Linked DNA regions of Nothobranchius furzeri. The protein of the gene in region 3 interacts with the protein of the main gene of each other region in a pairwise test. Links are inferred from orthologs where the notes say so. Each region holds a gene or a part of one and is shown on either strand. Other genes may lie near its edges. The genes, in order: ncf2, arpc3, golga2, ras-related protein Rab-39B, nme7, washc3 and ntaq1.

What was found.
Region 1: the proteins of golga2 (region 3) and ncf2 interact in binary tests that used the Homo sapiens proteins (3 or more experiments, as listed by UniProt). The two-hybrid records come from large-scale screens. The link is inferred for Nothobranchius furzeri from reciprocal best matches to the Homo sapiens genes GOLGA2 and NCF2.
Region 2: the proteins of golga2 (region 3) and arpc3 interact in binary tests that used the Homo sapiens proteins (3 or more experiments, as listed by UniProt). The two-hybrid records come from large-scale screens. The link is inferred for Nothobranchius furzeri from reciprocal best matches to the Homo sapiens genes GOLGA2 and ARPC3.
Region 4: the proteins of golga2 (region 3) and ras-related protein Rab-39B interact in binary tests that used the Homo sapiens proteins (3 or more experiments, as listed by UniProt). The two-hybrid records come from large-scale screens. The link is inferred for Nothobranchius furzeri from reciprocal best matches to the Homo sapiens genes GOLGA2 and RAB39B.
Region 5: the proteins of golga2 (region 3) and nme7 interact in binary tests that used the Homo sapiens proteins (3 or more experiments, as listed by UniProt). The two-hybrid records come from large-scale screens. The link is inferred for Nothobranchius furzeri from reciprocal best matches to the Homo sapiens genes GOLGA2 and NME7.
Region 6: the proteins of golga2 (region 3) and washc3 interact in binary tests that used the Homo sapiens proteins (3 or more experiments, as listed by UniProt). The two-hybrid records come from large-scale screens. The link is inferred for Nothobranchius furzeri from reciprocal best matches to the Homo sapiens genes GOLGA2 and WASHC3.
Region 7: the proteins of golga2 (region 3) and ntaq1 interact in binary tests that used the Homo sapiens proteins (3 or more experiments, as listed by UniProt). The two-hybrid records come from large-scale screens. The link is inferred for Nothobranchius furzeri from reciprocal best matches to the Homo sapiens genes GOLGA2 and NTAQ1.

Annotation. Positions count from the first base shown.
Region 1 is NC_091747.1:36,775,552-36,779,877, reverse strand, and holds the start of ncf2 (neutrophil cytosol factor 2), read left to right. Parts: upstream 1-1,265; 5' UTR 1,266-1,287; coding exon 1,288-1,461; intron 1,462-1,793; coding exon 1,794-1,876; intron 1,877-1,950; coding exon 1,951-2,059; intron 2,060-2,288; coding exon 2,289-2,423; intron 2,424-4,261; coding exon 4,262-4,326. Other genes in the region: garem (GRB2-associated and regulator of MAPK protein 1), read right to left, coding at 1-38. UniProt on the Homo sapiens protein: Subunit of the phagocyte NADPH oxidase complex that mediates the transfer of electrons from cytosolic NADPH to O2 to produce the superoxide anion (O2(-)).
Region 2 is NC_091746.1:47,862,122-47,866,606, forward strand, and holds the start of arpc3 (actin-related protein 2/3 complex subunit 3), read left to right. Parts: upstream 1-1,415; 5' UTR 1,416-1,530; coding exon 1,531-1,536; intron 1,537-1,881; coding exon 1,882-1,981; intron 1,982-2,338; coding exon 2,339-2,415; intron 2,416-3,387; coding exon 3,388-3,456; intron 3,457-3,731; coding exon 3,732-3,858; intron 3,859-4,485. Other genes in the region: gpn3 (GPN-loop GTPase 3), read left to right, coding at 1-22, 148-272, 370-485, 614-710, 798-926, 1,021-1,086. UniProt on the Homo sapiens protein: Component of the Arp2/3 complex, a multiprotein complex that mediates actin polymerization upon stimulation by nucleation-promoting factor (NPF).
Region 3 is NC_091746.1:54,867,125-54,869,775, forward strand, and holds part of golga2 (golgin subfamily A member 2), read right to left. Parts: intron 2,175-2,651; coding exon 1,988-2,174; intron 839-1,987; coding exon 570-838; 3' UTR 1-569. UniProt on the Homo sapiens protein: Peripheral membrane component of the cis-Golgi stack that acts as a membrane skeleton that maintains the structure of the Golgi apparatus, and as a vesicle thether that facilitates vesicle fusion to the Golgi membrane.
Region 4 is NC_091742.1:80,053,220-80,057,662, reverse strand, and holds the start of ras-related protein Rab-39B, read right to left. Parts: upstream 2,970-4,443; 5' UTR 2,735-2,969; intron 2,658-2,734; 5' UTR 2,054-2,657; intron 1-2,053. UniProt on the Homo sapiens protein: The small GTPases Rab are key regulators of intracellular membrane trafficking, from the formation of transport vesicles to their fusion with membranes.
Region 5 is NC_091756.1:61,686,851-61,690,692, reverse strand, and holds part of nme7 (nucleoside diphosphate kinase homolog 7), read left to right. Parts: intron 1-239; coding exon 240-290; intron 291-432; coding exon 433-640; intron 641-747; coding exon 748-853; intron 854-3,464; coding exon 3,465-3,529; intron 3,530-3,842. UniProt on the Homo sapiens protein: Possesses an intrinsic kinase activity. Displays 3'-5' exonuclease activity with a preference for single-stranded DNA. Does not seem to have nucleoside diphosphate kinase activity.
Region 6 is NC_091741.1:43,372,078-43,376,438, reverse strand, and holds the start of washc3 (WASH complex subunit 3), read left to right. Parts: upstream 1-1,300; 5' UTR 1,301-1,435; coding exon 1,436-1,486; intron 1,487-2,982; coding exon 2,983-3,081; intron 3,082-3,183; coding exon 3,184-3,249; intron 3,250-3,321; coding exon 3,322-3,459; intron 3,460-4,361. Other genes in the region: uncharacterized protein, read right to left, coding at 2-204, 925-958. UniProt on the Homo sapiens protein: Acts as a component of the WASH core complex that functions as a nucleation-promoting factor (NPF) at the surface of endosomes, where it recruits and activates the Arp2/3 complex to induce actin polymerization, playing a key role in the fission of tubules that serve as transport intermediates during endosome sorting.
Region 7 is NC_091759.1:9,346,635-9,350,417, forward strand, and holds ntaq1 (protein N-terminal glutamine amidohydrolase), read left to right. Parts: upstream 1-1,340; 5' UTR 1,341-1,434; coding exon 1,435-1,499; intron 1,500-1,688; coding exon 1,689-1,788; intron 1,789-1,999; coding exon 2,000-2,050; intron 2,051-2,132; coding exon 2,133-2,281; intron 2,282-2,351; coding exon 2,352-2,476; intron 2,477-2,564; coding exon 2,565-2,707; 3' UTR 2,708-3,035; downstream 3,036-3,783. Other genes in the region: ribosome biogenesis protein bop1, read left to right, coding at 39-146, 233-386. UniProt on the Homo sapiens protein: Mediates the side-chain deamidation of N-terminal glutamine residues to glutamate, an important step in N-end rule pathway of protein degradation.

The DNA.
Region 1 (4,326 bases), on a different chromosome or scaffold from region 3:
TCTTTCAAATTATTGTACAACATTGTTCCAAGGTCCATCTTGTTAGCTCACATTAGCCAACTCTGGAGCTAGCTGTGTGTAAATACGGACACAAAAGGGTGCTCCGAGCTACCAACACAAATAATATAGCAACTTAATCTAAACAGTCATACCAAACATGACTTATTTCTTGTTAATCCTTACATAGCTCCAATTTTCATTTGTTCTACGCATCATAAAGGTTCGTACTCCGAAAGTGTAGTAGAGCCATGTTTGTTTAGCTAGCGATGAGCTAACGGATAAACGTTTTTACTCTATCAAAATAAGAGCATTTTATACATTCAAGTAAAGAAGATACGTTATTATTGAAAGGCGAAATCGTTGAATTCCTTGAGAATATATAAATACACATTTATAATATGATGTTAGTGTTGTAAGAAAACGCACCAGTATTTTGTGATTATAGTCATGTCACAAGAAATTTATTTTGAAAGGAAAAACCCGGAAGTTGTTTTTGTGCATTTGGCACAAAAACACATCATATATTTACTAAATAAATATTGCAGCTCAATAAATTTAGAATTATTAAAGAAGAACAAACAATAATCTGAACATTACTTATTTCAGTAAAAATGTCTGAATGTCATCAAAGTTAAGGTCGTTACAACACTGGAAATCAATTTGAGTTTTGGATTTAACATTGTCAAAGTGCCATGTTTGTTTGTAAATTTACAAAATAAAGTTAAAAAATAATTATTTAAAAAATACTAGAAATCAATTAGATGTGAAACATTTTTCATTATGCATCTCAAGCTTTTCTGCTTATAAAATGCCAACGTTAGTTTAGAGCTAAACACACACACACACACACACACACACACACACACACACACACACACACACACACACACACACACACATTTAAACCCACAATTTATTCAAAGATAGAAAATCTCTAGAATCTAAATCATAAAGCTTTTGTTAACTGTAGGCTAATATTGATGGAACTCAAATAGAGCATTTGACATACCAGATAAAAAATAAACACAAGACCATCTGAAAAAGTAGATATAAAAATATACATATTTCCTGGACACAATGTGCAAATTGTTTGGTACATCAGCAGTAAGTTAGAGTGCAATTATTGCACTGAACGGGAGAAAATAATTTAAATGTGGCTTTAGCACTTAGAGCTGATTGTGATGCATTTGTAAATCGTAACAGCTGTCATCACACTTCCCAGTTTCACTGGTACAAATAAGAAGAACTTCCTCAATGTAGAATCAGTGTGCTGGTAAGCCAACAAACATGTCTTATGTGGACACTCTGCGGCAGTGGGACAAAGCTGTAACTTGTGCCGACAGACAGGAATGGTCAGAAGCCCTCTGCATTTTCTTATCCATTCAAGAACCAAATTCCAAAATTTACTTTGACATTGGTTGCCTTCATCTTCTGAACCAAGACTTGGATGATGCTGAAAAGGTACGTTAGATCTACTTTATTTTAAATCAAATCTGCAAGTCTGTGCACGTAAGAAAGTAAAATCATCTGGATTTATTTGGCAAGGCTGAGATGAAACGTGTCAGATATAAGGAGCCCTCCGGTTGGCTCACGGGTCCCCTGAACAGATCAAACAGGATCAGAAAATATTCAATTTCAATTTTCTTGGCAGCTGAGGACCCATGGTCCGGAAGGACGTGACTTAGGCTCCCTATAGAGGTTTCTGAAAGTGCAAGTCACAGTGAAAGAAGAAGTGGTGTCACCGGCTTTCTGCTCCTTTAGAGGAAGTTATTTTCTTACCTGTTATTTCTCAGGCGTTTGACTGCAGCATTCGCAAGGATGAGCATTTGGCAGTTGCCTTCTTTCAGAGGGGAATGACATTTTACAAAAAGAAAAGGTAAATTACATCAAATGTTTTATAAAACTTGCCTTATGTGTAATAATTATTACCTTTACTTGTCTTGGTCACAGGTATGAGGAGAGTTCAGCTGATTTCCAGAGAGCCTTTAAAGCTCTGAGGGGTAACCAGCTGATCGATTACAAAGCACTAGGTCTCAGATACATCCTATATGCCTGTGAGGTGAGCTTTAGCTCTACTGTCCGTCAGAAATCTGAGGTTAAAATAAAGCTGGCTGATGATGGTAATTCCTCATTTTCAATGTGATTTATATATTCTTGCAAAGAGGAAACCGTTGAAGCCTCAGCTCTTCCTAATTCAGTTTTCAATATGAGGGCTTCAAATAAACCTGATAAGACGGTGTGACTGAAAAGCTCCTAACTCAGTGTCACGTCGACACCTCCTGCTTCAGGTTCTCCACAATCTTGCCCTGGCTGAAGCTAAGCTGGGTAGCTGGGAAAAGGCCCAGGAAAACCTGGTCAAGGCACTGGACTACAAGACAGATGCCAAGCTCAGCCTCATCGACAGGGCTCTGCAGTCAACCCTGGTCAGTTACGATCATCCTCTCATAAAATACGGTTACACTTCATTAATATAATTCAATTACACACATCCACATATGTTTAGAAATCAACATTTTATCAGCATAGGTGTTGGCTATTTGGGTTTTGGAAGGAAGAAGATACAGTGGGGCAAAAAAGTATTTAGTCAGCCACCGATTGTGCAAGTTCTCCCACTTAAAATGATGACAGAGGTCAGTAATTTTCATCATAGGTACACTTCACCTGTGAGAGACAGAATGTGAAAAAAAATCCATGAATTCTCATGGCAGGATTTTAAAATAATTTATTTGTAAATCAGGGTGGAAAATAAATATTTGGTCAATAACAAAAATTCAACTCAATACTTTGTAACATAACCTTTGTTGGCAATAACAGAGGTCAAACGATTACTATAGGTCTTTACCAGGTTTGCACACACAGTAGCTGGTATTTTGGCCCATTCCTCCATGCAGATCTTCTCGAGAGCAGTGATGTTTTGGGGCTGTCGCCGAGCAACACGGACTTTCAACTCCCTCCACAGATTTTCTATGGGGTTGAGGTCTGGAGACTGGCTAGGCCACTCCAGGACTTTCAAATGCTTCTTACGGAGCCACTCCTTTGTTGCCCGGGCGGTGTGTTTGGGATCATTGTCGTGTTGGAAGACCCAGCCACGTTTCATCTTCAAAGCTCTCACTGATGGAAGGAGGTTTTGTCTCAGAATCTCACGATACATGGCCCCATTCATTCTGTCCTTAACACGGATCAGTCGTCCTGTCCCCTTAGCAGAAAAACAGCCCCAAAGCATGATGTTCCCACCCCCATGCTTCACAGTAGGAATGGTGTTCTTGGGATGCAACTCAGTATTCTTCTTCCTCCAAACACGGCGAGTTGAGTTTATACCAAAAAGTTCTACTTTGGTTTCATCTGACCACATGACATTCTCCCAATCCTCTGCTGTATCATCCATGTGCTCTCTGGTAAACTTCAGACGTGCCTGGACATGCAATGGCTTCAGCAGCGGAACACGTCTGGCACTGCAGGATTTGATTCCCTGCCGTTGTAGTGTGTTACTGATGGTGACCTTTGTTACTGTGGTCCCAGCTCTCTGCAGGTCATTCACCAGGTCCCCCCCCCCCCCCCCCCCCCCGTGTGGTTCTGGGATTCTTGCTCACCGTTCTCATGATCATTTTGACCCCACGGGATGAGATCTTGCGTGGAGCCCCAGATCGAGGGAGATTATCAGTGGTCTTGTATGTCTTCCGTTTTCTGATAATTGCTCCCACAGTTGATTTTTTCACACCAAGCTGCTTGCCTATTGTAGATTCACTCTTCCCAGTCTGGTGCAGGTCTACGATTCTTTTCCTTGTGTCCTTCGAAAGCTCTTTGGTATTGGCCATAGTGGAGTTTGGAGTCTGACTATTTGAGGCTGTGGACAGGTGTCTTTTATACAGATAATGAGTTCAAACAGGTGCCATTAATACAGGTAACGAGTGGAGGACAGAAAAGCTTCTTAAAGAAGACGTTACAGGTCTGTGAGAGCCAGAGATTTTCCTTGTTTGAAGCGACCAAATGCTTATTTTCCACCCTGATTTACAAATAAATTCTTTAAAAATCCTGCCATGTGAATTCATAGATTTTTTTTTCACATTCTGTCTCTCACAGTTGAAGTGTACCTATGATGAAAATTACTGACCTCTGTCATCATTTTAAGTGGGAGAACTTGCACAATCGGTGGCTGACTAAATACTTTTTTGCCCCACTGTAAGTGAATCTTCTAAAATCCCAAAATCTTTCAAATTAATTTAAGTAATACTTTTCAATATGTGTTTTTTTTTTCTGACAGAAACAAAAGCTTTTCAAACCGGTGGAATTCCCTTTGAAAATGCTGTTTAGACCAAACAAGCACTA
Region 2 (4,485 bases), about 7.0 Mb from region 3:
TATATTCTGTTTGACTGCCCAGGTGAGTAATCTGTTTAACAAACATAACTTTAGTATTGGCTGTTAAGTTTGGTCTAATTGATCTAAAGGTAAGTCCTTTTTAAATTACATAAGTTTGAAGCTTTGTGTTGTTTTTACTTTAAACAGGTCAGATTGAACTTTACACACACGTCCCTGTGATGAGACAACTGGTGGAGCAGCTCCAGCAGTGGGAGTTTCGGGTGTGTGGGGTGTTTTTAGTCGACTCACAGTTCATGGTGGAGTCATTTAAGGTAACCATATATCTGTTCTTTTATGTTTGTGTCATTTTCTTTAGCGCAAGTTGTTTTAAACTAAGGTGCGCTCATCTTTTACGTGTTTCAACTGTAGTTTATATCTGGGGTCATGGCTGCCCTGAGTGCCATGGTGTCATTAGAAATTCCTCAAGTAAACGTCATGACAAAGATGGATCTGCTCAGCCCCAAAGCAAAGAAAGAAATAGAAAAGTAAGTTTTGCATGGTTAAAGCAAAAAAAGTATGTAGTGCCAGAGAAGTTAACATGCAACATCAGTTTTGCTTTCCATAAACTGTTTATAATTGGTAAATCTTTAAGGCAGTTGTGTATTTTTACAAGGTACCTGGACCCCGACATGTACTCTATGATGGAGGATAATTCTGACACTTTCAGAAGCCAAAAGTTCAAGAAGCTTACCAAAGCTATTTGTGGTTTGGTATGATGTCATTTATTAGATTTAGAAACATTTTTTAATGGTAAACTGACATATTTTTTCTGTTTTTTATTTTATTTTTATATATAGATAGATGACTACAGTATGGTCAGATTCTTGCCTTTTGACCGCACAGATGAGGAAGGCATTAACATAGTCATGCAGCACATCGACTTTTCCATTCAGTATGGAGAGGACCTGGAATTCAAGGAGCCTAAGGTGAAGAAACAACCATATTAACACAAATCTAATTATAATGCAAATCTTTATTATTTATTAAAACTAAATAAAATATGGTTTTCTTCTCCATCAGGAAGTTGATGAAGAACCAGCAAATTTAAACTACGATGAGCTGTTTCAAAACAAAGTTGTCTGTTGAAGAGTATTGTGATCGTGTGTCAGCTGGGAAAACAGCATGTGCATGCAGGTTTTAGATGAAGTTCAGCTGGAGAGCTTCATATCAAAAGAGGAAATGGACAATAGCTAAATAAAACTGACTTTGGACTAGTCTTTTATGTTTAAAATATTATTTTCTGTTTTTATTATTTATACAACTCAAGATTTATTTTCATTTGACAAATTAAAAATAAAAACCTGAAGTGTTGTTAAATAGATGTACTAATGTTATATTTTTTAAATAAAACATTACACAATGTGCACTTTTCTGTGACGAGATTGTTTTCAGCACCCCCCAGTGGCCGCTATGTCACACGACACGTGTTCACTTCCGGTAAAGCTACAGGGTGGGAAAGGCGGAAGCAGCGTCTGGGGGTGCACGGATATTTGTCTTGCTGAGCAGTTGGATTGATATCTTTCATTCAACATGCCGGTGAGTATATACTTTGCGATAGCTGTTGACGACAGCTATTTGTTTTTATTGATTTATGAAGCCAGAATTGTGTCATGAAACTGTCTTTATTTTACGTTAGCTGTGAAGACGGACATCTGTGGCATAGTTAGCTAGGCTCGTTAGCATTCGGTAGAAACCTACTCGTAAAATTACTTAAAATTGTCAATATTCCACTAAATGTTCCTTTTGAGGATATTAAGTTTATCATGAAATTATCCCTAGCTTCTTGAATGTAAATGAGTGAAACGTACGGTCGTCGCTAGCGCTATCGCCGTATAGAATCTGAACAGATCTGACAGCTGCTTTTTTCTGGATTTTATTTAGGCGTATCATTCAAGCTTGATGATCCCCGATACAAGGCTAGTGGGGAACATGGCCTTGCTCCCCGTTAAAACTCAATTTAAAGGACCAGCCAGAGGAGACGGTAAGTAAGCATCATAATTCTGTAATTGTCTCCACTAACGCGTTCTGTTTCCGGGTAACAGATGCATGAAAATGTCAAGAACTTGACCAGTTCTGTGCAGAGTTTTGGCTGTCATTCAGTTCCTCAAACGAGTCAGCTTCACTTCCTTATATGGGCTGAAGAATGCATCATCAACCTATGTTGTTATTTCTGGAACCCATGCATGTATTATTTGCAACAAGATGTATGATTTGTTTCAACCAACCACCAAAATTCTTTTGTACAAACAATGAAGACACAAATGAACTAAACATGACATTTTACACTCAGGGCATTGGTCTGTATTGAAAATTTTCTTTTTTCTTTTTAAACTTGCAGGGCTAGATTCTGATATTATTGAAGAAGCGATCTACTACTTCAAAGCCAACGTCTTCTTTAAGAATTATGAAATCAAGGTAAGAATTAAAGGTCGGCCGGTGTGCGTTCTTACCGATGCTCATATGTAGGAGTCATGATCAGCCAGTTTTTCTGGCTGATATCTAGATATTTTTCACCTTATCAGCATGCTAAAATGTCACTAATAACAGTTACTGCAAATCTTTTCTGAACCTGAACCAGTTTTTGAACTCTGAATATACCCAACAGTTGAATATTAATTTTGTGCACTGGTTTTTGTTAAAACAATGATTTATTAAAAGTTAATCTAACAAACAAACCAATAATCTGATCGTTTAAAATGTAAAACTGGTGGAGTGACAGTAATGTTTTAGAGCAGGGGTGTTCAGTACATTTATTGCGGTCTACCAGTCGATCTTAAAGATGGTGTGGGTAGATAGCAAGACATTAACAAAAAAAATTATGTCAACCTAAAATTGAGAGCATTTTTTGAACAGGTGTCTTTTCAGAAACATAAATATAAATTTATATAAAATTTGGCAGCTGCACCAGGCTGCCCGTGGATGTGCCTGTTCTCAAATCAGTGCTACTAAAGAAGTATATTGGATTATAAAGATTTATGTATTAAAACATTGTAAATATGAGTTTACCCCTATTAAAAATCACAAACTTTTTATGCATGGTGTTTTTATCTAGAACATAAAATATTTACAAAGAGATTTCATAAGCTTGTTTTAAGATTTTTCAGATTATAATTGCTTGTAAAATTCACCTGGAGTTCATCAGATAAAAGATGTTTAAATAAAAACTTGCCTTTGTGCATGTTCTGTCTTTCCCACCTTCCGTCTCAGAGCAGCTATGCACTTCGTATTCCATCACATGTTGGGGCTCGCTTCTTCCACTCCACTCAACACGGTTTCTTCATCATAGCTGCCCTGGATTTAAGCCTTTTGTAACATTAGCATTAATGCTGTAGGGAAACATGACTGCTTTAAACTAAATCACTTAAAAGTGCGTTATATTTTTTTCAGAATGAGGCAGACAGGACCCTGATCTACATCACACTCTACATTTCTGAGTGTCTGAAGAAGCTACAGAAGGTGAGTTTATAACATCTGTATCATTAAAGTGTACAGTGTTAACAGCTGTTGTATTCGATGGGTGAAAATGTTTAGTGGTAGCATTTAAAATGCTTGTTTGAAAGTAGAAGCGTCTCAGTCGGGCCTGGAAACCAGAGAGCTCAATAGCTGGGTTTTGGTGCATAAAGTGTGCTTCTAGAAAGAAGCACATGTGTGATTTATTAATTTATAATCATTTCTAATCTAGGGCATGTAAAATGGGTTTCACTGAACATTTTTTGCTTTAATCCTTGCAGTGCAGCTCCAGGAATCAAGGAGAGAAGGAGATGTACACTCTAGGCATCACAAATTTCCCCATCCCTGGAGAGCCTGGCTTCCCTCTTAATGCCATGTATGTGAAGCCCTCAAACAAGCAGGAGGAAGGTGAGCGATGGCATTAAACGATCAACTAAACATAAAGCTGTACTTCTGTCTGTCTGAGCTTGTTTTAGAAGGAAGAAAAAAGCATAAAGGTTGGATTAGGGCTGCAGCTATCGAATATTTTTATAATTGAGTACTCTATCGAATCTTATCGATTGAGTACTCTAATAAATTACTCTTTTGTGTTTGTAAACCATTATATCAAATAGCCTGTTATAAAATATGAGCGGCCTCTTAAAATGAGCAAGCAATTACCAGTTATTCAAGTTTTATTCAAAATTAGTTTTCAGAACTTCAGCACTTCAACTTCACTTCACAGTAAACAAATGTGAGCGGCTGCGACCCAAACAGCACCAGAACCGCTCACGGCGCATGCGCAAACATGGCTCGCCAGCTGTTTCCCCATTAACACACGTCCGTTTTAATTTCTACACTTTTTTTCTCACACAATAAAAAGGATTGTCAAGAAAGCATGTTTGCCGTGATTATGTAAATTATACTGATCACAAAACATTTATTTACTTTATTTCGTTTGCCTCTCATAAATACCCGTGTCCTCCTGCAGCAATCCCGAGGGACAACAGACATCAATAACAACACAGTAAAAAGTCAGACGTGTTGTGTAAAAAC
Region 3 (2,651 bases):
AACTTGACTGAGTAACTTCATCCAGCTCTGACCTAGCTTCACCAGTCTGCGTTCATTAGTTAGGCCAGCCGTACTGACGTCCCATCTCTGCACCGTCCTCTTCACATTTCTCTCCCTCTCTCACACACACACACACACGTAAATATCAGGGTTAATACATTCAGTTGTGGTGCTGCTCTTTGGCATGTGTGCAGTGAGGAAAGAAACATTTGCGTGTAAAAAAAGTCACTAATTTAAAGTTCTTTACAGTTCTTTAGGGACTGTACCAGCGAGGGGACCAACTGACGCCCTGTTTTATTGCACATTTGTGTGAGATGGGTGACACGAATTCAAAATTCGAGATTAATCAATTTGCATTTAAGAAGAATGATTAACTCACATAAAAAATAATTAAAAAAAACAAAAGGGATGATAACAAAAAGGGGCGACTCAACGTAACTTGGACACATTTTTCCTAAATCTGACCAGTTTTAAGGAGTCAAACTCTGTAAGGAGCATTTGTAAATCTGATCAAGAGGCTACAAATGTGGTAAACTGTAGGGGTTAACATCTCAGGACATGTCCACAGCTCACACCACCAGGACCTTGACTTCATCCTGCTCGTCAGGCCGATAAAAGAACGGGATGCAAGGGTTCTCTCCTAGGAAGTGGGGTGACCTCTGAGCCCCCTGTGGGTTCTGGATCTCCTGGAGGAGCTGCATGATTTGCCAGGCTGTGCCATCCTCCTTTGGCCCCAGTGGTTTGGATTCAGTCTGAACAAGTCCACGTGATAGCGTCTGGGATGATGAAGCTTCAAGACCATTGGGAGGCTCAGACAGCGGGATGACCTCCATGGCTTCTGTGGAAAAGAAAAACTAGTGAACCTCTGCAAATATATAGAAGAAATTCACAATCTGTCTGAAAATGACAATGTGTTGTTGTTACAAGAGCACCTGAGCAAAAGCATCACGTTTTCTGTCACTTTAATACAGACAAAATTATTGGACCATTTTGTAAAGGGTCAGTTTAAAGATTCCATTCACCAAATTTGCCTTTTTGAAGCCTGAATTAATCAAAAATTAAATGAGAACCACTAGAAATCTAAGAACGTCTCACCAACCTTCTCAGAGGCCTAGAGGTAGAGTGTCTGATAGGGCTGGGCGATATGGTCTAAAATCAGTATCACGATATAGTGAGGATTTAACCTCGATAACGATAAATGGACGATAACTACAGGTATGCACAGAAACAAAAGTTGTCCTCTATGTTTATGTTTATTTATTTGGCAGACGCTTTTATCCAAAGCGACGTACAATTTTTAACTTGTAGGTCATGCTGTGATCTGTAGGGGAAACCGGAGTGCCTGGAAGAAACCCACGCATGCATGGGGAGAACACGCAACTCCACGCAAAAAGGCCAGGGCCGAGTTTCGAACCTGCAACCTTCTTGCTGCCAGGCAAGAGTGCTAACAACTGCTCCACCATGCAGCCCACTAGATGGGGCTGTCACATGTATTATGTTGAATCACATTTTTATGTGACTCAAGGTGGTATAGCATCTGAAATGGACATGAACGTTGCCAACCTACACAAATTTTCATTGTTTTATTATCAAATTTATTGACATGGGAAAATTTATCTCGATAAGAGTCAGAAATTTCGATAAGGATAAATTTTCGATTTATTGCCCAGCCCTAAGAGATCGTGGTTCTAGTAGAGTTGGGTCGTACCAAAGACTTTAAAAATAGGACCCAATACCTCCCTGCTTGACACTCAGCTTTGCGGGGTTGGATTGGGGGGGGGGGGGGGGGTTAAACCACCAAATAGTTCCTGAGCGCAGCCACAGCTACAGCTCACCGCTCCTCAAGGGAATGGGTCAAACGCAGAGATGAATTTCATCAGTGTGTGATAACTAATTGGACTTTTACTTTAACAGTGCCACTAAAAAGAGAAACGAAGCTGAAATTGCAGCGCTCAGTTAGTGATTTAGTGCATCTACTAGTGCTCACCGTCTCCACTGACGGCGTGAACCTCAGATCCTGTTTGGTGCTCTGAAAGAGAGTGGTCCTGTCCAACAGGAAGCAGGTCTGGGTTGACCGCCCCCATGTTGGCTACAGCTCCAGCGTAGCGGTTGTACCAGTCGTTCCTCTCAGCCACCAGCCTCATGACCAGATCCTGCAGCTCTGCTAGTTTGACCTAATAGATCAGAGGTAAGCATCAGTGAACAGGAAACACTACATTTAATTCTAAAACTGTTAAAATAAACCAAGCTTTAATGAGAAATTTAGGCTGCACAGTATCAATCTAAATAAAGACATTTAATAAAATGTTCAATTCATCGCATGAGTTTCATAGTTAATACGTGATTATTATCAAATTAATTGCAAATTATAAATGTAGGTAACATGATAAAGTTCATGCTTCTCATGTTTTAGAAATTTATTTTACTTTTCTTTTTGTTTTATGTTCCTTTATTATCGTTTACAGCATATTATACAACAAGCATCTGTAGAAATGTATGTATCATTCCCCATTTTAGTTTTTCATATATTTTCATCGATCAAGTGTGGGATGAAAAATGCAAAGAGAGGCAAAAGAAAGGAAAACATTCAATTTGAGACCAGATTTCTTTGAAAATGTTATGAAAATCTCTTGTTACACTAATTACATAAC
Region 4 (4,443 bases), on a different chromosome or scaffold from region 3:
AATCACGATTACGATCTGAGCTTTGAACGATTATAAAAACAAAACAAGCCGATTATTTGCTCCTCCCACTTGCGCTGCCCCGAGTTGCAAATGAAGCGCTCCTCCCAAAGTGTTGCCAACTTGGCGACTTTGACGCTGTTTCTAACAGCTTTTCAGACCCGCTTCTTGACTTTTTAAATCTTAAAAGTACCTAGCGAACACCTCAGAAACATCTCTGGTAACCCTTAGCTACTTTCTGGATAACTGTCGTTGTCGACGTTTCCTGCAGGTTAGCTAAACACTCCGCCTGCGCTCCGGACCTTTCTTCAGGACATTAGGAAAGGGAATGATGTAGTGAAGTGTCAGTCACTAAAGAAACAGCTCTCGGAGCCGGCTCCCTGTTGGAGTAACCAAAGTGAGTGACACACACACCGCACCTGCGGACTCCTGAGCCACTAAAAACGGCTAAATGTGCGGTGCGCTAAACACACGTACAGCTTGCCCCAATTGCTGTGAGACCGGGTGGGGGGTGCAGCTGTGGTTGGGACAATTATTACATTAACTGATGGACGACTTGTAAATAAATAGTTTATAAATAAGGTAGAAATAACTTCCTCACGCTGATAAATAACTAATCTCTCTGAGGACACGGTGCTAGTGTACTCTCCTACAGCACATTGACACGACTCAATAAATGTTATGCAACATTTTGTGAACATCAATTTTTTTGCATTTATTTGTTATAAATGCCACTGTATAATTCTTGCTGTCAGTATTTGCAAGATATTGGTATTTGGGTCTGTACTGGTTAGACTTGAATGAGTTAAACCAAGGTCTATAGCCCTTGGGTCATAGACTATGAGCTACAAGTATATTGGTCTTTTTTTACTGGGAATCAGGAGTTATTTTAGTGATCATCTTGTTTCTTATTTATTTTTGTCCTGATTGTGCCCTGAGCAATTTTATGACTGAATAAAAACAAATAAAATCAACATAAATTGAAAAATCGTCCTAAATAATCGAGATCTCAATTTCAGTCACCATAATCGTGATTATTATTTTTGCCATAATCGAGCAGCCCTAGCCACAGCTGCAGCTCACCGCTCCCCACGGGGATGGGTCAAAAGCAGAGATGTAATTTCACCAGTGTGTGATGATGACTAATGGGACTTTAACTTAACCACCTGAACTGCAGAATTATCTGGTGATTTTGTGACCTCGCAAAACCAGATGTGTGGAACGCTTTTGCAGCCATTTTGCATCTTAATTGCTACCTGTGGCAAGGGAGCGTGGAAATAAAACGTGTCTATTACATTATGTACCGCTTAACATCAGGATTTAATTAATGATGGGCAACATTGTCATTACAAAACTCTACAAAATCACGGTTAATATTTATGGAGGAATGCGGGAAAACGTGCTACCAGATTTTTAATATGAATTTTTTCAACACAGTTAGTCGTGATGTGACGCTTTAAAAGCGCTGTGGTTTTGGGGAGTGAGTGTCAGTAGGTCGGCTGTTCTGAGTGTGTGCCGGGTCTACAAATACAATATGGCAGTACAAGTAAGCAGTGTATTTTTACACATTTTTGATCAATGGAACCAGGACAAGACGCTTCACCAACTAATACTATGTGCTTATGGTTTAACGTTGAACAAAAAATAATAATAATAGTGACATATCAGAGTTTAAAAAACATATTGACGTACTAACTGAGGATTAATGTTTACATGCTGGAAAGTAATTTTACATGAATTATAATTATTATTCTAATTATTAAGAAGTCTATCATTTTTAAAATAGAAGTGTGGTATAATTATGTCCTATAACGGCTTGCCACATATTTGAGTAAACAATGTTTGTTTGTTTTTAGATGATCGTGCGTTTAGTGAATCAAAGGTGATTTTAACAGCAACATTTCCCAAAATCCACGGTCCTGTTGATGATTAACTATCAGTTAAAACACTTTTTCATTAACTAGTCCAAGTACGGTAATTTAATCTTTGAAAATGGTTGACAAAGTTAACTCGTGTGCTGCTGAACCGATTGAAAGGTTAGTATTAGAAGACAGACCTGATTGTGAGGAGACGGAGCCTGTTTAAAGCAAGAGAGGACTTCGCTTTAGGCCCTGGTTGTTGCTCTTCTTTACGCCGATCAGGACCTGGATGAGGCCGGCTCCATGGCTCCGACTAGTCTGGCTGGATCGATGCTCGGGGTGCAGCGAGATCACGGCGTCAAAAAATAAACGATAAAAGCAAAACACTCGATGTTTAACCTGAAACTCGAACACAAAACAGATGTAGCCAAAGCAGGGCCCCGGAGTCAAGGGCTAATTGTGTCCCAGTGCCAGGCCCGCTGAAGAAAAAACGCATTCAGAGCAGGTGCAGCTTTAAAAACACACCGGATTTCACTCTCACGTGCTTCCCGAGTCCGTTGTTCTTCTTTTCGGCAGCTGTTTCTGCCTGGACCCGTCGGACGTGGAGAAAGGAGGGGGAATCCCACCGTATCACTTCTGTGTTTGCTGAGTGTTTGTAGCTTTTGGCTGCTGATGAAATGGCAGCGGGAGGAGCAGCATCATATAGCCTGACTCATCCCGCATCAGTACCACTACTACCGTAAAGGAGCGAGCACGGCCGCAACGAGAAACTCCGAACACTTCCTTAACTGCGAAACGGAGCTAAAAAAAATACACAGACGTGTTTATATGTTATCCAGCGTCACATAAACAGACAAATGATATGTTTGTTTTCTGACCATAAAACTCTCGACATATCAGCAGTGACAGTGCAAATGTAGCTAGATCACGTGGCTAATATTTAGCCTCTTAAACTTGCTACAATAAGCCTCACAGTGGATGACATTCTAAATAAACATGTTATCCAACAACGAGTTTAAAATCTGAACGCTTTTAAACGTGTTTGAAGCGTTTATTTTTCTTAGGAGAGTCGAACAACAGCCAGGAAGTTGCACAATCTGTCCCTGAGCTGTAGCTGCAGTGCGCAGTCGCGGAAGTGGTCACCGTTCGCGCTATTGCCAGCGGGAATTGTAGTCTTATATACATGCAAGCAGAAAAAACGTGTTAAGTTGTTTAATGGCCTAAAAAAACTCCTATTGTGAGTTTATGTGTTTGACAAATAATAATAAAAAATTATTTATTTTTGCGTTAATTAAAAGTTATTGGTTTGGTGGAGCAGTGGTTAGCGCTGTTGCCTTGCAGCAGGAAGGTCTTGAGATCTCATCCCAGCCTGGGATCTTTCTGCATGGAGTTTGCATGTTTTTCCTGTGTGTGTGTGTAGGTTCTCCAGCTTCCTCCCACAGTCCAAAAACATGACTGTCACGTTAATTGGTCTGTCTAAATTATCCTTAGATGTGTGTGTGTGCATGGTTGTTTGTCCTGTGTGTCTCTGTGTTGCCCTGCGATGGACTGGCAATCTGTCCATGTACCCCACTTGTTTGCCCGTTGACTGCTGGAGATAGGCACCAGCCCCCCGTGACCCTGCATGGAGAAAATGCATGAGAAAATTGATGGTTTGGTGTGGCCTTTGTTTAACCCCAGCCTCCCCCCATAAAGAGACGCCTCTTGAAATTACACAAACTGCCCATCTGAAAAATAGCTTTCAGACTTACAGATGATCAAATAAATATGACAAATAGGACAAAAATGAAAGGGGGAAAATAAGTAAATAAAAAAATTGTACCCAGGAAAGGTTTGTGTGTAAAAAAATGCTATACTTGTGGCCTCTTGTATGTTACTTTGCAGTCATTTATTATTAAAAAAAAAACAAATGTACTCCACTGTGTGTGTGTGTGTGTGTTTTGGAAAAAAAAGAATCACTTTAAAACAGAAATAAACTGGTCATTCAGAAGCATCAAAATATTTTTGCCTTTTTCATATCATTTTAACAGTCTGTTGAATGAAATGTTGATGAAAAGTTTTGATATTTAAAACATTTTTCTTAAAAATAACATCTCAAGCTAAGATTAGATGTTTAACTAAATTAATAAAATATGTTGACAGGTGGGTGGATTAAATGAGGTCATTGCTGTTTGCCCTGCATGACATATTGATCTGAAACATTGGCCAACATATTTTTGAAGTGTTTAGAAAATGTGAGCAAGTAAAAGATTAGTTAATAGTTAATCTAGTGCATTGTTTTGTGATCGGAGCACGTCATTAAGTTCCATCTGTAACTTTAATTCTGTTCCATCAACGAAGGAATGTTTTTCAAACAACAAGACACTTCATCAATTTAAACTAGGTTAACAGATTTAATCAATCTAAACCAGCTCGACTCAAACAGAGGGTTGTTAACATTTAGAATTAGGATGAATTCCTCCCAAGAGTGGCATCAATAATCAGATCGGTCAAACCAAAACAGATGGTACAAGGTATTTTAATCCAGTCAAGATAAAGTAATCATGTTTTTTGATTTTATGGCAGATCTTGCGTGTGTGTGTGTGTG
Region 5 (3,842 bases), on a different chromosome or scaffold from region 3:
CAATGTCCCGTCCAGTTGTGCAGCGCTTTGTGCTAATCTTGTCTGTGAACGGCGCTCTGGAAAATACTTTTGAGTTATTACTAAAATGTTCTTTTTTCTGCTGTTATTGTTTTTTCCAAAGCAAATCACCGCTATCACTAAACTCTGTTAATAACAGTCATCTGGCCAACAGACATGTGAGAAGTGCTGCATCATTTGGTCACCCATTGACTTTGGTGGATGGTTTTGTTGCTTTACAGGAGCCAAGCGGAAGACTTTTACGTGGAACATCAGTCAAAGCCTTTCTTCAGGTGAGTGCTCGTGTAAATGATCTCCCAGTTCTGAGCAGAGAAGGGTTGTGATTGCCATCTAGCACTCCGACCACAACCTGTGATGGTGACATTTTAGAGTTTTTTAAATTCAAATCAGCTCCAACGTGACTCTGTTTTGCAGTGCGCTGGTGCACTTCATGTCCTCTGGGCCAGTGGTTGCCATGGAGCTGGTGGGTGACAAGGCCCTGTCGATCTGGAGGGAGCTCCTGGGACCTGCAGACTCTGCTGTGGCGTTAACAGAGGCGCCACAGAGCATCCGTGCACAGTTTGGAACAGACGCCATCAAAAATGTGGCCCATGGCTCTGACTCCATAGCTGTAGCAGCAAGAGTGAGGATTTTGACTTTGTTCTCGCTCTCTTGTGCCTTCAGTAGTCTGAGAATCGCACTTCCTGGAACGGTCATGATCATTAAAGTTTGTGTGTTTGTTTTTGTAAGGAGCTGGAATTCTTTTTTCCTTCCACGGTCGGCCATGGCCCCTCCAACACAGCCCTGTTCACAGACTGCACTTGTTGTATCATCAAACCCCACGCTGTATCAGCAGGTAAGGAGTCACTCAGGCATGGCAAAATATCTCACTTTTATTTGTATTTTGTTATTTTGAGTTCCTGTGCTGCTGGCTTGTTTCCCCCCCCCCTCCCCAACAAAGCCACCATGTGGTTTCCAAAATGGCCTTGGATTTTTCCAAATCCCAGTGCTGATCCCTGCTCCCGGGGCATGCCACCAGAGCTCTGAGCTGTGAAATGTGAAATTCTGTGCAGAGCTGATGTTTGCACACAGAAAGCTGTTGACTGGAGGTGGACCCCAGCTTTTGTTCTGCACTTACAGCAGAGAACATACAGTAATAACTACAGATCCACTAATATCTTGTTGTATCTTGAGTTTCATCATTTCTCTGGTATCTGACTGTCTTTATGTTTCAGTTTGAGCCAGCGTGACATTATATTGCACATACATGTATAAATTCATGTACCCTTGCATTTACGATGGAAACGCTCTCAATGGTCCCTGAAATAAACTTAAAGGGATTTTCCACCCCTAAGTGAAATTGAGTTTATTGCTGTATTCCCCAGAGTCAGAAAAGTCAGAAAAAAAAACCGACAAAATGATTCATTATAAAGGTTTTGTGAAAGCAAGGCTTATTTCCGTCCACTGCCTCTGGGCGATAATAAAGCCATGGTGTATCTGTGCACCGCTGCTCTCTGGCCTGCCTTCATGCTGCACCTAAACAGAACAGATCGCCCACTTTTGTTATTTCTGCAGTTACAGCCACGCTTAGCCTGCTAGGGCACGTTCAAATCTTTGGCTTGAGAAAGGAGGCGGTGAGAGAGAATACAAGTGGGCATGCTTTGTTTGTCTGCAAGGCACCGTTGAGCAACAGTTAAGCTTGCAACGAGCCGCGGTGATAAACCAGCTCGGTCCGAACGCATGGATTTCAACATTTGCTCAGTGAATACCGGTGGTTGTTGGCTGTGTTAATCATTCCTGACAGGTCACAGTGATAGTGCTCTGTGCTCGTATATAAACTTTTTATCAAACCCCGGCGTTTTCAAATGAAGGTTTCCTTCATTAGGGGGTCCAAATAAATTTAAAAAAAGTAGTTTTATGTGGAACAATAATTGCTCCCCATGTTACGTCCTGATTTATTTGTGATTAAACATATTTGTAGAGCTGGGGTGAGTTTCACCAGCCACACCCAGGCCTGCTTACTGCCACTAACTTCAACAGAACCTGTCCAACAACATGAAGTAGGCTAAAAGATCTCCATGCTCTGGTCTAAAGAACCCAACATCACCAAAGCACTGCAGACCTCATTAAGGTCAGAGGTCATGAATCAACCATGGCGACAGAGAGGTTCTACTGACCGTAATAATCCATAAGACTCATCTCACATTACATTTAGTGTAAAACTAACACTTCATTTCAGTGAAGTATCCTCATTCCAACAGTGAAGCATGGTGATGGTGGTATGATGGTCTGGGGCAGTTTTGCTGCTGCAGGACCTGGGCCACTTCCTGTAAATGATGGAACCATGAACGCTGATCCGTAGCAGAACATATCTTAAACAATGTCTCGCTTAAGCTGATGTGTTTGATGTGCTACAAGAAGTTTGGCGCTTCTTAAAACAGTTCAGTTAAAACGAATCAGTTATCTCTCAGAAAGTGTGGCATTGTTAAAACTTCAAAGCTCCTACTCAGGCGTCAGTTTCACTGCTAGAAGTGACTCCCACACTGTTTACCTTCAGAGCCGTGATATATTTGGTCCGAGCCAAGAATAGAAACCAGGCTGAATGATTTGTCCAGCTGAGGTCGACAAAAAGCTCTGCTCTGATCTCCCCTCAGAAATCTCTTCAGTAGCTCATTTATGTCGTCAAGACGGCCTGTCACCGTGGCCATGAAGGACGCTGTGAGTGAAAATTCACTCAGACATGACCGGAATAGAGAAGCTTCTGTTGCCAGGCTCCTGGAATAGTATCTCCTAGCAACAGCAGCAGCTGCTTTGTGGCGCTGCGAGGAGTGTGTGGAACCTGTGCAGTCCTGGGGAGGGCACAAAGGACTCAGGCTATTACCTAGTGCACATAACTGGACTGTGACGTAGGGAGGGAGAGATCCACAGACGGCGGCTACGCCTGGTTCCTATTGAACGTCTGCGCTGCAGCATTTAGAGTTAATGAAAACCGTCCTGGGTGACAGGTACACAAGCTACTTTTTATCAGACTGAGATTACGAGACTGGCGCCTTGATTCAATTGTGTGTCTGCAGCAGTCTGACCTTCAGAGTCACTGCAGCTGCACCACTTCTACAGCAAAGACCCAGCTCTTTGATGGGATGTACAGTTCACTATCTCGTTTCCTAAAAGGTTGCCTGGACAAAAATGCTTTCCCTCGATAGACAACACATCAGCGAGACTATCTCACTCTGTCCAGAGGACAGACTGAGGTCAGTGCACTGAGATGTACCGCTGATGTCTGAGCAGAAGCACGTTCAGTAGTGATGCATCCGGACTTCACGATAGTCAGATGCTTCACTGCAGCAGTGGATTCAGGTGTTATTTGATCTGGACGACATCTGAGATTGCTGCAGCACTAAAATACCGTGTTTGTCCTTCTGTGTAAACTCGGCTCATAAAGACTGATGAGCATCATGTGTTCACAGGGCTGACTGGGAAGATTCTTAACTCCATATCTGCAGCTGGATTTGAGATCTCAGCTCTTGGAATGGTGATTATTATTTTTCTGTGTTTGTTTCACATGAAATGAGTAAGGTCTGTAAACTCTAGCGCTTTAACAGCGACTCTTCATGCTTCCCACAGATCGATGCTGTAGAACTAACAAGCTGCTCAGTGTTACTGTGAAAGGGTTAGGGTCCATTAGGTGGAATAAAATCCCTTCATTTCAGTCTGTTGTAACAAATGGTTAATGGCCTGTATTTATACACCACTTTCTAGGGTACGACACAGCTTTTATTCACACACACACACACACACACACACACACACACACACACACACACACGCGCACACACACACACACA
Region 6 (4,361 bases), on a different chromosome or scaffold from region 3:
CCCTGGCCTTCAATCCGAGAAGGAGATGCGCTCTCTGTCTGTGGTTGATCAAACCAGGAACTGCTTCTGTCAGCATGGACACAAACTCCTGCAGCTTCCCATAGTTCATCACATCTTTCCCCTTCATCAGATTCCACATAGCAGCAGACAGAAGATGCAAGGGAGGCACCAGGAGGCGAAAGGAGGGCAAAGGGAAGTTTGGGTCTGAAACATTAATGTGTAAAGTCAGAAATGACCGATGGAGGGCAGTAACACACCCCCTAATTCAGAGAGCATTCAGAGTACTTGCAGGAAACAGCAGGTGGATAAAATTTTCACGATGTGATTTTGCAAAGTTCTCACATTTTACACATAACTGAAACAGTTATTGGCTTCATACAGATAATTAAAAACAATCAAGCAATAAAACAATCACGTGATCTGTTACATTGTTGTCTGTCATTTGCTTGCTTGCTTGCTAAAGTCACTGAGACCAGTCAGTGACTGGATGCAGTTTGCTGGGTTCCTTATATAGGAAACTTTTTTTCCTGATTGGCTTAATGAACTGACCTGTATTGGAATGTTAACTATGTGAAGTGCCTCGAGACGACTCTTGTCGTGATTTGGCGCTGTATAAATAAACTTGAATTGAATTTGAGCTACAGGCTTTTGAACTGGAGAAAATCCTGGACAGATCTTTAACATTTTAGATACACAATCTGGAAAATGTCCACAGATGTTACTCAAAAGCTTCGCAACTTAGTTAAAACAATATATCGCGTAAGAGTGTCTGTACATTTAACAGCAAGCTAACTTCCACTGCGCAACAACAACAGTCTGCCAAATAATGAACATTGTGGTTCCTTTAAATAGACAGAGCCCACTGATAGTAAAACAAACACGTCTCCAGAAAATATCAGAAAGGCAAACTGGTAACATACATACCCTCCATTTTTTCTTTTGATTCCACAACTTCCATTAAAGCATCCCACCAAGTGAATTTGAGGAATCTGTGTATATTTGTGCTGTTTGTTTTGGTGGCTAATGCGCTATTAGAGCGCAAGCATCGCTTCCTCAAGTATTCACTCAAGTTTCCGCTTTTCAAAATATATGTCTGAAAGACGTGTTTTGGTGTTTTCTAATGAATTTCAGAATGCTATTATTTTCAAGTTCTTTTTTACTTCAAAGCCAATGACTAGATAAAGAAAAAGTTTAGAAAATTTCGACAGCTCGAAATATAAAAGTGTGAATTCGAGTGCATTGATGCCTCTTCAAAATAAAAGTTAATCATTTCCTTTTCCTAGAGTGACGTAATCACGTAGCCAGTCACACTGCTCAGTGTCACGTGAAGCCTTCAACGGTGTAAATGTTTTGTTTCATGTCATTTTTTCTTTCAAATTTCGTGCCATTAGACCTGAAACCACATTCCTATTCACAGGAAGTGTAAAACGCTAACATGGACGAGGACGGCCTGCCGTTAGTCGGGTCAGGAGTCGATCTTACGAAGGTTTGTGTTTCTAACTGGTTAGCTAACACTGAAAACCTGAGAACCCAAAGCTATGTTTGTGCTTTTTAACAAAATATATAATCACTAATGCAGAGAAAACTGTGGCCTTTTTCTAACTAATTTCACCTACTTGTAACTGTTTGCCTAGTCATTTTCCTTTTGGTTTGTTCTAAAGAAGTATCAAAAGAGGAAAGAACGTTTTCTCTCCGAACACTGATGTTCTATTTGAATACATCATTCATTAGATTCTATTACCGGTGTTGTGCCGAAAAGAGCTTGTCTGCGAAAATGTGCATCCCCTGCGGGAAGGCGCGTATGAGACCGCTTTTTAATAAATGTGTACAACATGAGCTGCATCCTTCCTTACAAAATGATGGTTTATGAGCAAATAAGTAAAATAAACTACTGTTTATAACATGTTTTATTTTAAGTAATATAATGCACATATAAAAGGTTAGTCATTTTGAGTCTGCTTTTTTAAACCAACAAAATTGTTTAATACTTGCTAAAACATTAGTGTCAAACGTGTTGAAAAAGGTCAATTATTTAATCATTATTTCATCATATTTGTAGTCAAAAACAAAATCTTTTCAGGAGAAACACGGATTAGAAACGTGTTCAAATTCTGAATTGCTCATAATTCAAATTCTTCTTCAATTTGCGTCTTTCGACGGGGATACACATTTCGGTAGGCGTGCTCTTTTCGGCACAACACCTGATATACAGTAGTCTGTTATTCCAAATGTTTTTCCTCCACACCGATTTGCATCCATTATATGCAAAGTCAGACATGTGGGTAGAGTAGCCAGAGATTATACTCAAATAAGAGTAGCATTACTTTCATATATGTTTACTTGAGTAGTTAAAAAAAAGTACAAAAACTGTGTTTGCAAAAAAGCTGCTCAAATAATGAGTAATCATAACAGCTCCTTTAATTTATAAAATCCATTCAAACAGATAATAGTATAATGTTATATGATAAATTATATAATGTAAAGACTTAATTAAAATGTTGCATTTCTTTTTCCTAAAAATACTCAAGTAAATATAATTAGTAACTACCCAACACAGAAAATCAGATTTGATAGTTTTCATCATTCTTTTTGCCATTAGCATTTTGTTTGATGCAAGACTTTAAAGGTAGAACTCAGCTGCTTTTAAAATTCTCTCAAATACTTGAAACTTTGCAATAATCCACAGGTTACTGTATGTTATTGTGTTGTTTAAATAACACTGCTAACACATGACCCTGGTCTGTTTATGTAGATGTTGTTTATTCTCCCTGGTGTTAATTGTTGTTTTGTACTGCTTTGTTTCAATAAAGATTTACAAAAAACATTTTAACAGCAGTAGTTAAAAGTCATTTTAGAATCCCCTCAATATTATTTAAAGCCATAACATTCAAAAATCAATTATACTAGAGGTTTATGTTTAGTAAAATAAACTATAGTAACACTTGGTAAGTTTTTAATTATACTGCTTTTATCTTTTCTCAGGTTCCTGCAATACAGCAGAGACGAATCGTTGGATTTCTCAACCAGTTTGTTGTGCACACCGTACGATTTCTTAACCAGTTTTCCACCGTGTGTGAAGAGGTTTGTGTTTGTTTGTTTGTTTTTTACTCCTTAATGCTTCTTCTGCCTCAGAATATGAACTCAAATTATGTATTTATTTATTTTTTTTACTTCTCTTCACAGAAACTTGCAAACATTTCTCTTCGCATACAGCAGATTGAAACCACACTCAGCATTTTAGAGGCTAAGGTAACTTGTGAGACCTTGATACCGTTTCTGGATGTTGTCTTTTCACTTATGCAGTGACATTGTTCTGAGCAGCTGTCCTCTATTCCTGGACTGGAGGACGTCACAGTAGAGGGCCTCAACCAACAGCAGGCCTCCCACACTAAAGGACCCAGTACTATCGGTCAGAACCTAACTAACGGTGTAGCAGCAGGACCACCTTCTTCCTCAGAGGTAGGAGTTCAGACCCACCTGCAACAGACATGCAGGTTCAATCGGCCACGATGAATGCCAAAACAGTCTTTGTGTCTTTTTTCTTGTTTGGGAGTCTGTGATGCCAAAAATCGGCAGTTGAACTTTTCTTTTTAAGTCGGAATGTAGATTGTCATCAGCTCTTTGGTCGATGCAACAAGTAGAAACCTGCCGTCAACGCAACTGTTGTTTTGTTTTCTTTTGGAGTTTACGTACAAAAAAGGCTCAACATTCCCCTCCTGTTGTAAAGGATAGACTTTTAGTTTTGAGAACCTTCAAAGAAGTATGTTTGTTACTGGCTGCTTTGTTTGCATAGTGATCGGATTGGATTTTGATTGTCCTCCTCACACTCTGACAGGATTGTAAAATCCTATCCAGAAGTGTGACGTTACATATTTACAGTGAGAAAGGTGGAAAACCTTCAGGGCAGATTTCCTGAGTCTGCAGCACAGAGTTCAGGCCGAGGTCAGTAAACAAGCCATCACTTTTGGTTAAAACAGTGCACCAGGTCAGCTCAAACACCTCCTGTCCTCTGTAAAGCACGGTGGCAGGGGGCTGATGATTTGGGCTTATTTCTGCAGTGACTGAGTCAAACATGAACTCCTCTTTACACCAAAGTGGTCAGACTTAAACTGAAGTATAGATTGGGTCTCGCTGATTAATTCCCATCGTTACTGTGCAAACAAGACAGGCTTGCGCCATTTGTGATGAGATGTATGTCATGTTTGCACAATGACGCTGCACGTTATTCAGCGATCCACTGTCCACGTCCATTTTGGAAGTATTTTTAGCTGTGAGACACCTGATCATAGAAGATAAGATAAGATAAGAACAACTTTATTTATCCCGAGGGAAATTCTTGTGTCATGTACATGCTCAAAGCA
Region 7 (3,783 bases), on a different chromosome or scaffold from region 3:
AGTTCTAATAAAGCTTTTTGATCACTTCTTTCCTTCAGACACCATAAGAAAGCAGTGAGGGGTGTGGCCTATCACAGAGGTTACCCTCTGTTTGCCTCGGCGTCTGATGATGGATCGGTGATCGTCTGTCACGGGACTGTTTACAAGTAAGACCACAAACACACCCTGAAAATCTATTCATAACAAGACTTATAAAAGACAGGATATTAAAACTTGCCGCCGTCTCTTCCAGCGACCTGCTTCAGAACCCGCTGATAGTACCTGTAAAAGTTCTCAGAGGTCATGTGATCACCCACGATCTTGGTGTTCTGGACGTGATCTTTCACCCCACTCAGCCGTGGGTCTTTTCCTCAGGAGCTGACGCCACCATCCGGCTCTTCACCTAAAGTGTTTTAACCAGCAGCAGCTCTGTGTGTGTGTGGGAGGAGTCTGACCTCCCTAATGGACTGATTACCAGGATACCTTCTTCTTTTTTTTTTGTTTTGTTTTCTGTAGTTTATTTTATTGTTTTCAATAAAATGTATTTTATTGTTTTCAATAAAATATATTGTTCTTACAATTTGTCTCTGTATGTTAAAACTAGGAGAATTATTGATTCTTTTTTTAAAACCTACAAAATGTAGTTTTATTTGTCTGCCTTCATTTTAAAGGAGTTTGTGTTGCGGTTACCTTTTTGAAAAACAAGACCATTTATTACAGCTTTCAAAAAGGAAATAAAATTATCTAAAATTATCAACATAATTACAGCTCTAAAGGTTTTTTTTTTTTGTTTGTTTGTTTTGTTGCCAGAGGCAGAAATTAGGACTATCCCAAATATAAAGTATTTGTGCTTCAAATTTCATCATTATGGATATTTTTAACTTGAACCAAGTTTTTGGGTATTTTGTACAAAGCTTGTTTCTAATAGTAAAAGTATTTGTAATAACCATGTAAATGCACGACTGCGCAGGCCTGGGAATATTTGTTGTATCTGTTGTTTAACCAGGTTAAAGGCCTCTCTTAAGAATAAAATCTCTAAGAATATCAGCTTTCTTTATGTATCAGTTGTGCTGAACACAAGCGGGAACTATGTTTAACGAAAATATTCGGGTACCAGGGTCTGCAAAATGTTCTTAGAATATTTACTACAAACAATTTTCTTTATAATGAAGTTGGTGTGACAAGAGTTTTCAACCATGGGGACACATTTCGAAGTGACACCGTCGGAGCGGTTTCGGTGTAACACCGAACCGCGAGTTCTGTTACTGGTAAATCCATTCTGTTACATCATGAAAAAAACTTCAGTTTGTTGGGTTTTACATAATTATTCGTCAAATTTTGTAGCAAAAAACAAACAATTTTCTTTATAATGAAGTTGATGTGACAAGAGTTTTCAACCATGGGGACACATTTCGAAGTGACACCGTCGGAGCGGTTTCGGTGTAACACCGAACCATGAAGGCAGTAAAGGATCGAATCACACCGAGTCGTGAGTTCTGTGTTTACACCAGCTGTTACTGGTAAATCCATTCTGTTACATCATGATTAAAAAAAACTCCAGTTTGTTGGGTTTTACATAATTATTCATCAAATTTTGTAGCAAAACGCAGTTGGCTTAAATGGTAGCTGCTACATTCTTATGGATATGATTTTATTATTATTAGATTATTTTTGCTGTTTGATTAGTGATGTCTTAATTTGCTTTGCAGTGAGGAGAATGTGTGGAAGTTGTGTGAGTTTGTTCAAACAGCGAGGACTGCTCCACTGGAACAGCTCTTTGTGGTTTTCATCTCTAATGACAACAGAATGGTGAGAAGATCAGCTCTGAGAAGTTTGTCATGTGTTACAAAACCCTTTAAACATATTTAACTCAACAGATTTAGTCTCAACAGGTCTAAAGTTTAACAAATCATCACGAATCCCCTTAAATTTGCCAAGTTTGTATAAAGAATCAACATTTTCACTAAGATCTGACTTCTGCTGCTGCTGCTGATCAGTGATGTTATTTGTTCTCCTTCAGGTTCCTCTGTGGAAGCAGAAGTCTGGACACGCTGACCATCCAGTGATCTGGGTCTATGATTCTCCTTCCTGTTAAAGTGGCCTCAGAGCATTAAAATAATACATTGTTAATCATGTTTTTTTGGGTGTTTTAGGACTACCATGTGATCCTGCTTCATGTGGATCCTCAGTCGGAGGTTCTGGTTTATGATCTGGACACAGAGCTGTCATTCCCATGCAATCTGAGGCTTTATGGCAGCCAGGCCCTCCGCTCAGACCACCACATCAAACCTGAATATCACAGGTAGCACTGCTGAATTACACAGGTAATGCACTGGAGTGAAATCACCAACACCTTCTCATATCTGTGACAGGAAGTTGCGTGTGATTCCTGCTGAGAGCTTCCTCTTGAACTTTGCGTCTGATCGAACTCACATGAAGAACCCTGATGGGAGCTGGAAGAAGCCCCCTCCCTCTTACCCCCCTTTAAAGACCACTGGTAACAAATCAAGTTAATGTGGAGCATGTTTTCTGATTCCTGTCTTAGGAAAAGGTGATTTTGTACTTTTGGTGCATTTCCTCTTCAGGGTGTCAGATGAACCTGGATGACTTCATCAGCATGAGCCCAGCTGTTGGCTGGGGGACAGTTTTCAGTCTGAATCAGTTTCTACAGAAATACTTAGGTTGCTCCTCCACCACCTCTTCATCTTCATCATCAGCTCAATCCTGATCAGCATCCTGGCAGCTGCTGTTTTGTGATTAGCTTTTATGTTATTATGAACATTTAATCTGAAATGATTGAGAGACTGAGACAAACATTGAACTGAACTTTATGTTTTGGGCTGAGCTGCATCTCGTTTGACCTCTCTTGAGTTTCACCTTGGCCTCTGAAGCTCAGAGGAAACCAGAAACATGACGACGACAGCGCTTCAGCCATGTCACAGATTCATCTGGAAACTGAAGTGATCCTTCATCACACACGCCTGTGAGAACTTTGAGCATCAGCACCTTGATTTCACCTGAGTTCCTGAGAAATAAAAAGATTTTATTTAATCTTTGATCGCGTTGGATTCTCTGTCTCTGTAGCGCAATGATAGAATAAAAATTAAATGTATAATTGTAACTTTTGGTGTCAATTTGAATCTTGGTTTCCAGAATATTTTAACAATTAAAACTTGGTGAAATTATGCAGATTCTAGTTAACAGCAGATTTGTGTTTGGGTATAAGTTCTATTTACCGTTATAGATGACTGGTGGAACTTGTGCAATCACTTTCACCTGTCATATGTTTGTGTTCAGTATGGCAGGAGTGGTTAGGACACTGGTTTAAACAGGAGGATCAGGCATGTTTGGTTTCAAATTCTTTTCTGGAAGAAGCTCAGGACAGCAACATCCAGATAAAGTAAGCAACCTGTTTTATTTTATCAATCAAACAATCTTTAAGATTATTTTCTTTTGAGTTCTTTGTCCCTTTGAGAAATGCACATCTCTTTAGAACAAACATGAGCGACAACAACAACTCTGACCAGGACGGGGGTCGGCAACCAGCGGCTCTGGAGCCGCATGTGGCTCTTCCATCCATCTGATGCGGCTCTCTGTGCTTGTAAAATAATGAATGGATATTTAAATAAAATGCTTTATATTTTACTGCATACATTTTACATCTGTATGCCAATTCTAAATGTAAAGATTGTCTGCGTAAACCTGAACAGTTCCAACCCGGTCTTACTGTGAGACCGGGTTGACGCGTCACGCTTGTGCGTAATCATAGGTGCTTTCTGAGCTGAAGAGGATATGAGATTCTGG